2 linked regions of the Ovis aries genome follow. The protein of the gene in region 1 interacts with the protein of each later gene in a pairwise test. Links are inferred from orthologs where the notes say so. Each region holds a gene or a part of one and is shown in the gene's direction. Other genes may lie near its edges.

Evidence for each region.
Region 2: the proteins of ARR3 (region 1) and GNMT interact in a two-hybrid assay, tested with the Homo sapiens proteins (2 studies listed by BioGRID and IntAct). The two-hybrid records come from large-scale screens. The link is inferred for Ovis aries from reciprocal best matches to the Homo sapiens genes ARR3 and GNMT.

The regions. Positions count from the first base shown.
Region 1 is NC_056080.1:63,161,566-63,165,828, forward strand, and holds part of ARR3 (arrestin-C), read left to right. Parts: intron 1-2,913; coding exon 2,914-3,113; intron 3,114-3,234; coding exon 3,235-3,294; intron 3,295-3,453; coding exon 3,454-3,521; intron 3,522-4,167; coding exon 4,168-4,263. UniProt on the Homo sapiens protein: May play a role in an as yet undefined retina-specific signal transduction. Could bind to photoactivated-phosphorylated red/green opsins.
Region 2 is NC_056073.1:16,602,547-16,607,252, forward strand, and holds the start of GNMT (glycine N-methyltransferase), read left to right. Parts: upstream 1-1,664; 5' UTR 1,665-1,692; coding exon 1,693-1,898; intron 1,899-3,364; coding exon 3,365-3,492; intron 3,493-4,127; coding exon 4,128-4,244; intron 4,245-4,374; coding exon 4,375-4,517; intron 4,518-4,622; coding exon 4,623-4,706. UniProt on the Homo sapiens protein: Catalyzes the methylation of glycine by using S-adenosylmethionine (AdoMet) to form N-methylglycine (sarcosine) with the concomitant production of S-adenosylhomocysteine (AdoHcy), a reaction regulated by the binding of 5-methyltetrahydrofolate.

The DNA.
Region 1 (4,263 bases):
AATATAAATAACTTTAGAATAGATGTTGAATAAAAAAAACTAAAACAAGCTATTTCTTAACACAAAAAAAGGATGATTGTAAACTGTCAGAGAATCAATAAGATCTTGGGGGTGGGGTGATGCCCTTCCCACCACATACACAGTGGGATGTGACAAGAACAATTCATCTGATTAACACACCCTGAGCTCAGGGGCTATTAGATACCCTTTTGCCTGGCCCCTCCTCTTTTTCTGATTTCTCTTCTCTTTGACTTCATCCCTTCCCTTGCTTCCTTCCAGCCACCTCTTTTCCTCATCTTCTCTCTTTTTTTCTTTCCTTTGCTCCCTCTTTCCTTTTCCTATTCTTGCTCTCCCTTTTCCCACTTTTTTTGGCATAACTGGGAAACCAAGATGAATTTAATTTATTGTATCTTTTGAAAATTGTTAAGTTTGTCTTCATGTAGAAACATTAGAAAAGTACAGATGAAGGAGAAAGACTGTAATCCTCTCACCCAGAGATAATCACAAATATTTCAGTTCACATTTATTCATATTTTCTGTGTAAAAATATCTATATTTTTATTTTAAATGCTATATTATACATAATACTTTCTAATCTTCTTTTTTGGCTATGCAATATGTAAAAATCTATAAAATTTTTAGTTGCCTAGTACTATATTGTATGAGTGCACCATAATATATTTTCACCAACTTTAACCACTGGACATTTTTTGCTATGACAACCCCATAAAGTACATGCTTGTATGTATTTTTTTTCATACTTGTCTAATTATTTCTTTAGACTAAATGCCTGGAAAAGGAATGAATGGCCAAAGGGTAGTCACACATTTTTAAAGCTTTCTATCGCCAAATTGCCCTTCAAAATGGCTGTACCAATTAACTCTCCCTTGTGCAGGGTATCCTGGAGAAGGAAATGGCAACCCACTCCAGTATTCTTGCTTCGAAAATCCCATGGACGGAGGAGCCTGGTGGGTCGCCTGGGGCCGCAAAGAGTCGGACATGACTGAGCGACTTCACTTTCGTGCAGGGCATGAGGCTGCCCATTGTCCCAGTCATTATAAGCACTACCATTACCGCTACTTTCAGTCTTTGTTGTATCTTTTGAAAATAGATTCATTTGCTTTGCTTGTTTGTAATTTTAAAAGCAGATAATCTGGCTGTTGTATATTTTGATTTCTTAAAAATACAAAAATAGGTTGGTTTCTACTAGTGTGTGGCTCTTGGTAGTTTTCTTTTCTTTGGGTCAGGGCTCCTGATAAGATTCTTGACCCCTATTCCATTTTTTCCCCAACCCCTGTTGTAAATCTTTCCTTCCCTCAGTCTCTGTCACTATCCTTGGAAAGATATCTTTCTGTACCCTATCCCACACTCCACTAGTGCACGAAGTAGCTTTCTATTTGTCCCAATAATCTTAGGTACTAGCTGTAATGCATAAGTTCAATTATTATTGTTCCATTTCTCTAATATTCCCATGATGATCATCATCATCCACATCTATAATTTAAATTTCCACAGGGATTTCTCATACATCACCTCCTTAAAACCATCCTGTGAGTTAAGTTGGGCATATGAGTCTAGGCTTTAGTCATGTCTGAGTTAAAATCCTGGGCTGTCATTTAGCTACTCTGAGCTCATTTTCTCTACCTATAAAACAGAGATAATAACTGTAGAGCTCTTCTGCAGTCCTATTATTGACAGGTGAAATAACTGAGGCTCAGACAACACAAGGGATTTCTACAAGTCGTATGCAAACCTAGGTTCTGACCCTAGAATTACACAATGAATATCCTGTGCCCATCACCTAGTTTTTTTTTTTTTCATCACCTAGTTTTAAAAAGAATTACAGAAACCAACTGAAGTCTCCTGTGTATCCTTCCCTAATCCCATACTCCTTCCTCCCTCCCTCCTTTCCTTCCTGCCTCTACCTCGGGTAATAACTATTCTAAATTTGATATTTATTGTTCCATGATGTTTCTATACTTCTAACTTTATATATCAATGAGCAAATTTGGTATTGTTCTACATGCTTTTCAACTTTATATACATGGTATGATTGTGCATATCATCCTTCCTTTACTCAACATCTGAGACTCAACCATGCTAATACATGGAGTTCATTATTTTAATCTCAGTTTAATATTCCATGATATGAATATACCATAACTGTTTACCCACTCTCCCATTGATAGGTATTTAAATCATTTCCAGTTTTATGCTATGACAAACACTGACGCCATGGACATTTTATATGTTTCTCCTTATAGACAAGAGCAAGAGTTCCACTAGATTCTTATTTCATAAGATATGAGCAGATTCCACTTTATTGGACAGTGCCCAACAGTTTTCTAAAGTGGCTGTACAAACATATACTCCCACCACAGTACGTAATCAATTGTTTCACATCTGGAGCATTGTTCAACATTTAGTGCTGTCAGACTTAAAAATTTTTGACAGTCTGAGGAGGCAGAAATGTTATCTCATTGTGGCTTTAATTTGCATTTATCTGATTACTAATAAGACTGGACATGTTTTCATACTTCATTGGCCATTCCACTCCACGCTTCTGTGTAGAGCCTATTCATGCATTTTGCACACTTTTATATTGGAATGTTTGTATTTTTATTACTGATTTGTGGGAATTTTTTTAGATACTATGAACACTAAACTTTTGTTACAGGTGTTGCAAATATTTCCTCAGGCTTTTGCTTGTTTCATTATTTATAAAGATTCTTAATGTAAAGAAGTTTTAAATTTTACTGTAGTCAAATGTGTTAATCCTTTTCTTTATGGCTATACTGGTTTGATAATGTTACATTGTTTCTCTATGTCTTCCTCTGAGCTTCTTCTGATGCTGTTAAGATCTCCTTTCCCCCTCAGACCTGACAGGTCACTCTCTTGTTCCTTTGCCTGCAGTGTTTGTCATGTTGACCTGTGCCTTTCGCTATGGCCATGATGACTTGGATGTGATTGGTCTGACATTCCGCAAAGATCTGTACGTACAGGTCCAGCAAGTGGTCCCAGCTGAGCCCAGCAGCCCCCGGGGCCCCCTCACAGTCCTGCAGGAGCGACTGCTGCACAAGCTGGGGGACAATGCCTACCCCTTTACCCTGCAGGTACTGACCCCAAGCCCTAGGTAAGGCTTCTAGGGAAGATTAAGAGAGAAAGCTTAACAAAGAGGATAGAGTAAAGGGGTCCCTATTTCTTCTGTTTGCCGACCTCCTTCTGATCCTTTAGATGGTTGTCAACCTGCCCTGTTCGGTGACACTGCAGCCAGGTCCTGATGATACAGGAAAGGTGAGGTCTGGGTTCTCAAAAAGGTGGACAGAGGGATAAATGGACAAGACTGGAGAAAGGGACAGCTAATGGGTGGGATCAGACATTTCCTTATAAACCCATGAGGAAGGGAGTGGGCAGTGTCAGAAATGAGTTCTCTTTGCCTCTGCCCCTTTGCAGGCCTGCGGTGTTGACTTTGAAGTGAGGAGTTTCTGTGCTGAAAACCTGGAGGAGAAAGTCTCCAAGAGGTGTTTCTGTGGTCAACTTCAAAATCCCTGCCTCTAGCCTGCACCAGGAAACAGATCTTGCTCTCAGGACAGAAACGTCCTTACTTCTAACCTGTGTAGCAGCATCACCACCAGTTCAGATGCCCATTTCTGATTTCCCTCTAATTTCTCTTCTTTGCTCTAGAGCATGGGTCAGCAAATTCTTCTGTCAAAGGCCAGACAAGAAATAATTAGGCTTTGTGAACAATGTACTTCCTGTTGCACCTACTGAACTGTGCCACTGTAGCATGAAAACAGCCATGGGCAGTACGTAAATGAACAAGCATGGCTGCGTTCCAGTACTTTATGAACATTGAAATTTGAATTTTATATAATTTCCACATGTCATGAAATATTGTTCTTTGATTTTTTTCAACCACTTGAAAATGTAATGACCATTTTTAGCTTGCAGGCCACACAGACACAAGCAGCAGACCAGACTTAGCCAGTGAGCCATAGTTTGCTGACCTATGGTCTAGATACCTACCTTGAGGGTCCAGAGGCATTCTCTGAGGGAAACCTTCTACCACCTCCACCACCCAAGCGAGGACTGGGCTATAGGTTTGGCACAAGAAAGGTCTGTGGGTCCTAAGGAGATGTTCTGGCTGTCCCCTTGGCCTCTACTTAGAGACTCTGTGCGGCTGGTGATTCGGAAAATACAGTTTGCTCCCCTGGAACCAGGCCCTGGCCCCTGGGCCCAGACTGTGCGCCGCTTCCTCCTGTC
Region 2 (4,706 bases), on another chromosome or scaffold:
CAGTATCTATGGAAACGACATACCAACTGGAAAACCAGGCCCCCAGAAGGAAGAGTCCCAGGGCTCTCCATAGCCTAAAAGAATACCTTAATTATCTGTGTAACAGAATAGAATCATACATTCTATTATGCTTATTGGGGTATGACCACAAGCCTATTGATAATTGTCCACTGTTAACTACCTAGGCTTAAGGCTTATGAATGTGGGTTAACTTTGATTGTATCTTTTTTTTCCTTTGTTCAGACTAGTTTCAGGAAATTTTGGGGAGGTGGGTTTGGGCACGGGTACGCTTACAGTATATAAGGTTTTCACAAAAACTAGTCGGGGTCCTTGACTAAGGGGAGACTCTGCCTTGGCCCTGCCGGTGTAATAAACTGCACTCCACTCTCTGCGGGCTTCTCTGATAGCTCAGCTGGTAAAGAATCTGCCTGCAATGCGGGAGACCTGGGTTCAATCCCTGGGTTGGGAAGATCCCCTGGAGAAGGGAAAGGCTACCCACTCCAGTATTCTGGCCTGGAGAATTCTATGGACTGTATAGTCTACAGGGTTGCAGAGAGTCGGACACTACTGAACAACTTTAACTCACTCACCACTCTCTGCATTGTCCTTCTGAGTTTGTTTCCCCGGAATGCGGAACAGGTGGCTACAACACGGCCCAGGGCTTAGTTGCCTTGAGGCATGTGGGGTCTTCTCAGATCAGAGATTGAACCAGTGTCCCTTGCATTGCAAGGTGGATTCTTAATCACTAGGGTTAGAAGCCCCATCCTGGCTCTTTCTGAAGCCAGAATAAAGACAGGTAGGGAAGGCTGTTCTTGCCGTCTTGGGGTTCCCTGGGTAGCATCATTTTTCTGGGCACCATCCATCTCAGTGCAGGGTCTTGTCCCAGGAAGAGACCTGCTTTGGGAAGGAAGGGTGGATGTACACTAATCAAGGCAAAAGACCAATTTATGAAATGACAATGAACAACGTGATAGCAAGAGCACTGGACACTCCCAGCCTTGACCCTGGACTTACCACTCTGTGGGCACCTCCGTGGAAAGTAGTTGGTCTTTAGAAGAGCGTGTGGTTGGAGAGGAATTTGAACCAAACTGCATCTGAGGCCTTTAAAAAGGCTTGATGCCTCAGCTACAGGATAGAGGAGCACCTGCCCCCAGCTGGGTGGAATTGAGCCAGAGCCGCTCCTGGACTTGAATGGCCAAGCCAGCATTATCCCCCTTCCTTCCTTCCCTAGCTGAGTAGGCCCTCATTCAGCTGGACAGTCCTTCTTTAGATATGCTAATACCTTTCTCCCGCTCTGCTACGAACGGTTCAGCCCTGGGCGCTCCTCTCTGCGGACTCAAATTCCTTTCCAGCCTGGGGCGGGGGTGGAGTGGGCATTCTCATTGCTGCCCTTCTCCTGCCCCGCTTCCCTGGCCCTCCAGCGACCTGGGTTGAGTGGGCCGGGGCCTTGGGAGGGTCCTTTCCCGCCGAGGGACGGTCCGGAGGGCCGGATCTTCTGGCAGGCAGGTAGGGCCAGTCCAGGATTGCCAGGCCGCGCCCTCCCGGCGGCGCGGGGCCGGGAGCCGGCAGGGGCGTGTCCGCGCGCTCACCTGCCATTGGGCAGGTGGGGCGGCCGGCGCTCTGGCAGGGGCCGCGTTATAAACGCGGAGCCGGAGCCGGGGGCCGCGGCGGCGGGGCCAGGCGCGTCGCAGGATGGTGGACAGCGTGTACCGGACCCGCTCCCTGGGGGTGGCGGCTGAAGGGCTCCCGGACCAGTACGCGGACGGAGAGGCGGCGCGCGTGTGGCAGCTCTACATCGGGGACACCAGCAGCCGCACCGCGGAGTACAAGGCCTGGCTGCTCGGGCTGCTGCGCCAGCACGGCTGCCAGCGGGTGCTCGACGTGGCCTGCGGCACCGGGTGAGCGCGGGAGGGGCCCCGGGGACCGCAGTGAGCGCGAGCGGGGGGCGAGCAGGGGACCCGGGTGAGCGGAAAACCCGGGCACCGAGCGGATGGGGTCGGCTTGGCACGGGCAGCCGGGCTGCGGACCACGGGCGGGCACGTCGGGGCAGCCTCCTCCGCCGACCCGGGAGCCGGGGCTGGGGCGCGACGCCAGGGCGGGGAATGTGTGTTTGCCCAGGCAGAACGGGCAGGACGGGGCCGAGGAGACCCAGGATGAGAGCGAGGGTGTGGGCACAGCGGATGGGGAAGGCGGGTTCGCCAGGGCGGTGGCCCAAGGCCCGGGTTTTGGGACTAGCCTCACATAAGGTCGAACCCCGCTCCAGCGGCAGCGTTCACACTTAACACTTGTTCAACGTGATGTGCCTCTGCCAAAGCATTGTGCCAGGTGTTTCTGACACATCAGTTTTTAAAATCCTTACAAAACCTCATGAGGTAAGTGTGTGTGTGTGTGTGTGTGTTAGTCGCTCAGTCGTGCCCGTCTCTTTGCGACCCCATGAACTGCAGCCCACCAGGCTCCTCTGTCCATGAGATTTTCCAGGCCAAGGACAGGAGTGGGTTGCCATTTCCTTCTCCAGGGAATCTTCCCAGCCCAGGGATTGAACCCAGGTCTCCTGCACTGCAGGCAGATTCTTTACGGGCTGAGCTACAAGAGTAGTGATAGCTATTTACGGTTGCAGAAATTTGGCCTCAGAGAGGTAAAGGTGGAAGGAAGATGTGGACCCAGGTTGGTTAAGGCCTGGCTTGTGCTCTGAACCACCATCTGGCAGTTCCCTGGTGGTCTAATGGTTAGGATTCTGAGGTTTCACTGCCCAGGGCCCTGGGTTCAATAGCTGGTGGGAGAACTGAGATCCTGCAAGCCTCATGGGACTGCCAAAAACAAAAAGAAAAAAACCCACTATGCAACACTACCTCCTGTGCTCAAGTTACTTAGCTTGCAGGAGCTTCAGTTTGCCCCACCTCTCAAATAGGGATACCACCACCTACCTTACTGGATTGCCGTGAGTTTTAACTACTTATTTTGCTGTATGTACCAAGTCTTCATTGTGGGGCACAGACTTCTCTTGCTGCAGTATGTGGGATCTTAGTTTCCCTACCAGGGATCCAACCTGGGCCCCCTGCATTGGGAGTGCAGAGTCTTAGCCACTGAAGCACCAGGGAAGTCCCTGGATTGCCGTAAGGATTAACGCCCATTTGTACAATACCTGACGTGGTGCTGAGAAACAAAAAAGAAAAGTTACCACCGGGTGATAAGAAACAGATTTGCCAGGTCACTTGAGGTCAGCGGAGAGAGCCTGGGGACAGGAAACAGAGGGGTGGACTCTGAAGAGTGGGGGAGACAGGAGTGTTCAGCACAGGGCCTCCTCTTTGCCTCTCCAGGCCTCCCTGACTGCCCCTCTCTGACTGTCATTCCTGGTCCTGCCCAGGGTGGACTCCATCATGCTGGTGGAAGAGGGCTTCAACGTGACAAGCGTGGATGCCAGTGACAAGATGCTAAAGTATGCTCTCAAGGAGCGCTGGAACCGGAGGCACGACCCTGCCTTTGACAAGTGGGGTACGTGGATCCAGCCAGGTGCCCTCACTTCTCTCTACCCTGGGCTCCTTTATCAGTTGTGGTGGGGAGCTGTTTTCCTCAAAGAAGGAAATCACTGTCATTTCCCTGAAAAGGGAGGCTTACACACCAGAAGGAGGTACTGAGAATGAGGAGCTAGTTTTAATTATGTTTATAGTGTCCTGTGAAAGTCACTCAGTCGTGTTTGACTGTTTGCGACCCCATGGACTATACAGTCCATGGAATTCTCCAGGCCAGAATACTGGTGTGGGTAGCCATTCCCTTCTCCAGGGGATCTTCCCAACCCTGGGATCGAACCCAGGTTTTCCACATTGGTGGCAGATTTTTTTTACCGACTGGGCCACCAGGAAGCCCATCTTGGACAGGGGGCTTGTCCTGGACGGTGGGCAGTGTCCTGTGCCCCCCAGTAAAAACCCATAAACACAGAGCCCTCCTTCCCAACCATGGTTTCCTCCTCCCCGGGTCCCTGGTCCCCTTCACCCTCCATGTCCATAATGATGCCCTCCCCTGACTGGATGGGGAGTCCCTATGTGTGTCTTGAAGGGGAAACTGAGGCAGGACTGCCCTTGATGGAGGTGGGTGCCACCCTGATCCCTCTTCCCCTCCCTGGCCCCCAGTCATTGAAGAAGCTAACTGGATGACTCTGGACAAAGACGTGCCCCAACCACCAGGGGGTGGCTTCGATGCTGTCATCTGCCTTGGAAACAGTTTTGCCCACTTGCCAGACTGCAAAGGTGAGAGAGGGTGTGGCCTGGGGAGTGGAACCTGCCTTGAACTATACCCTTTCCAGAGGAAAAAGACGGGACAGAGACTGGTGCTGGGGGCCCTGAGCAGACGCAGTGTCTCTGTCCCCACCTGGTTCAGGAGACCAGAGTGAGCACCGGCTGGCCCTGAGGAACATCGCAAGCATGGTGCGGTCGGGAGGCGTGCTGGTCATTGATCATCGCAACTACGACCACATCCTCCGCACGGGGTGCGCACCCCCAGGAAAAAACATCTACTATAAGGTGGGGCCCCCTGGGGAGGGCAGGCCCAGGGCGGGAGGTGTGGTCCTGGGGTCCTGGCCTCATGGTAGTTGCAGAGGTTGACACAGCTGGCAACCCTGCCTGCAGAGTGACCTGACCAAGGACATCACGACGTCAGTGCTGACCGTGAACAACAAGGCCCACATGGTGACTCTGGATTACACGGTGCAG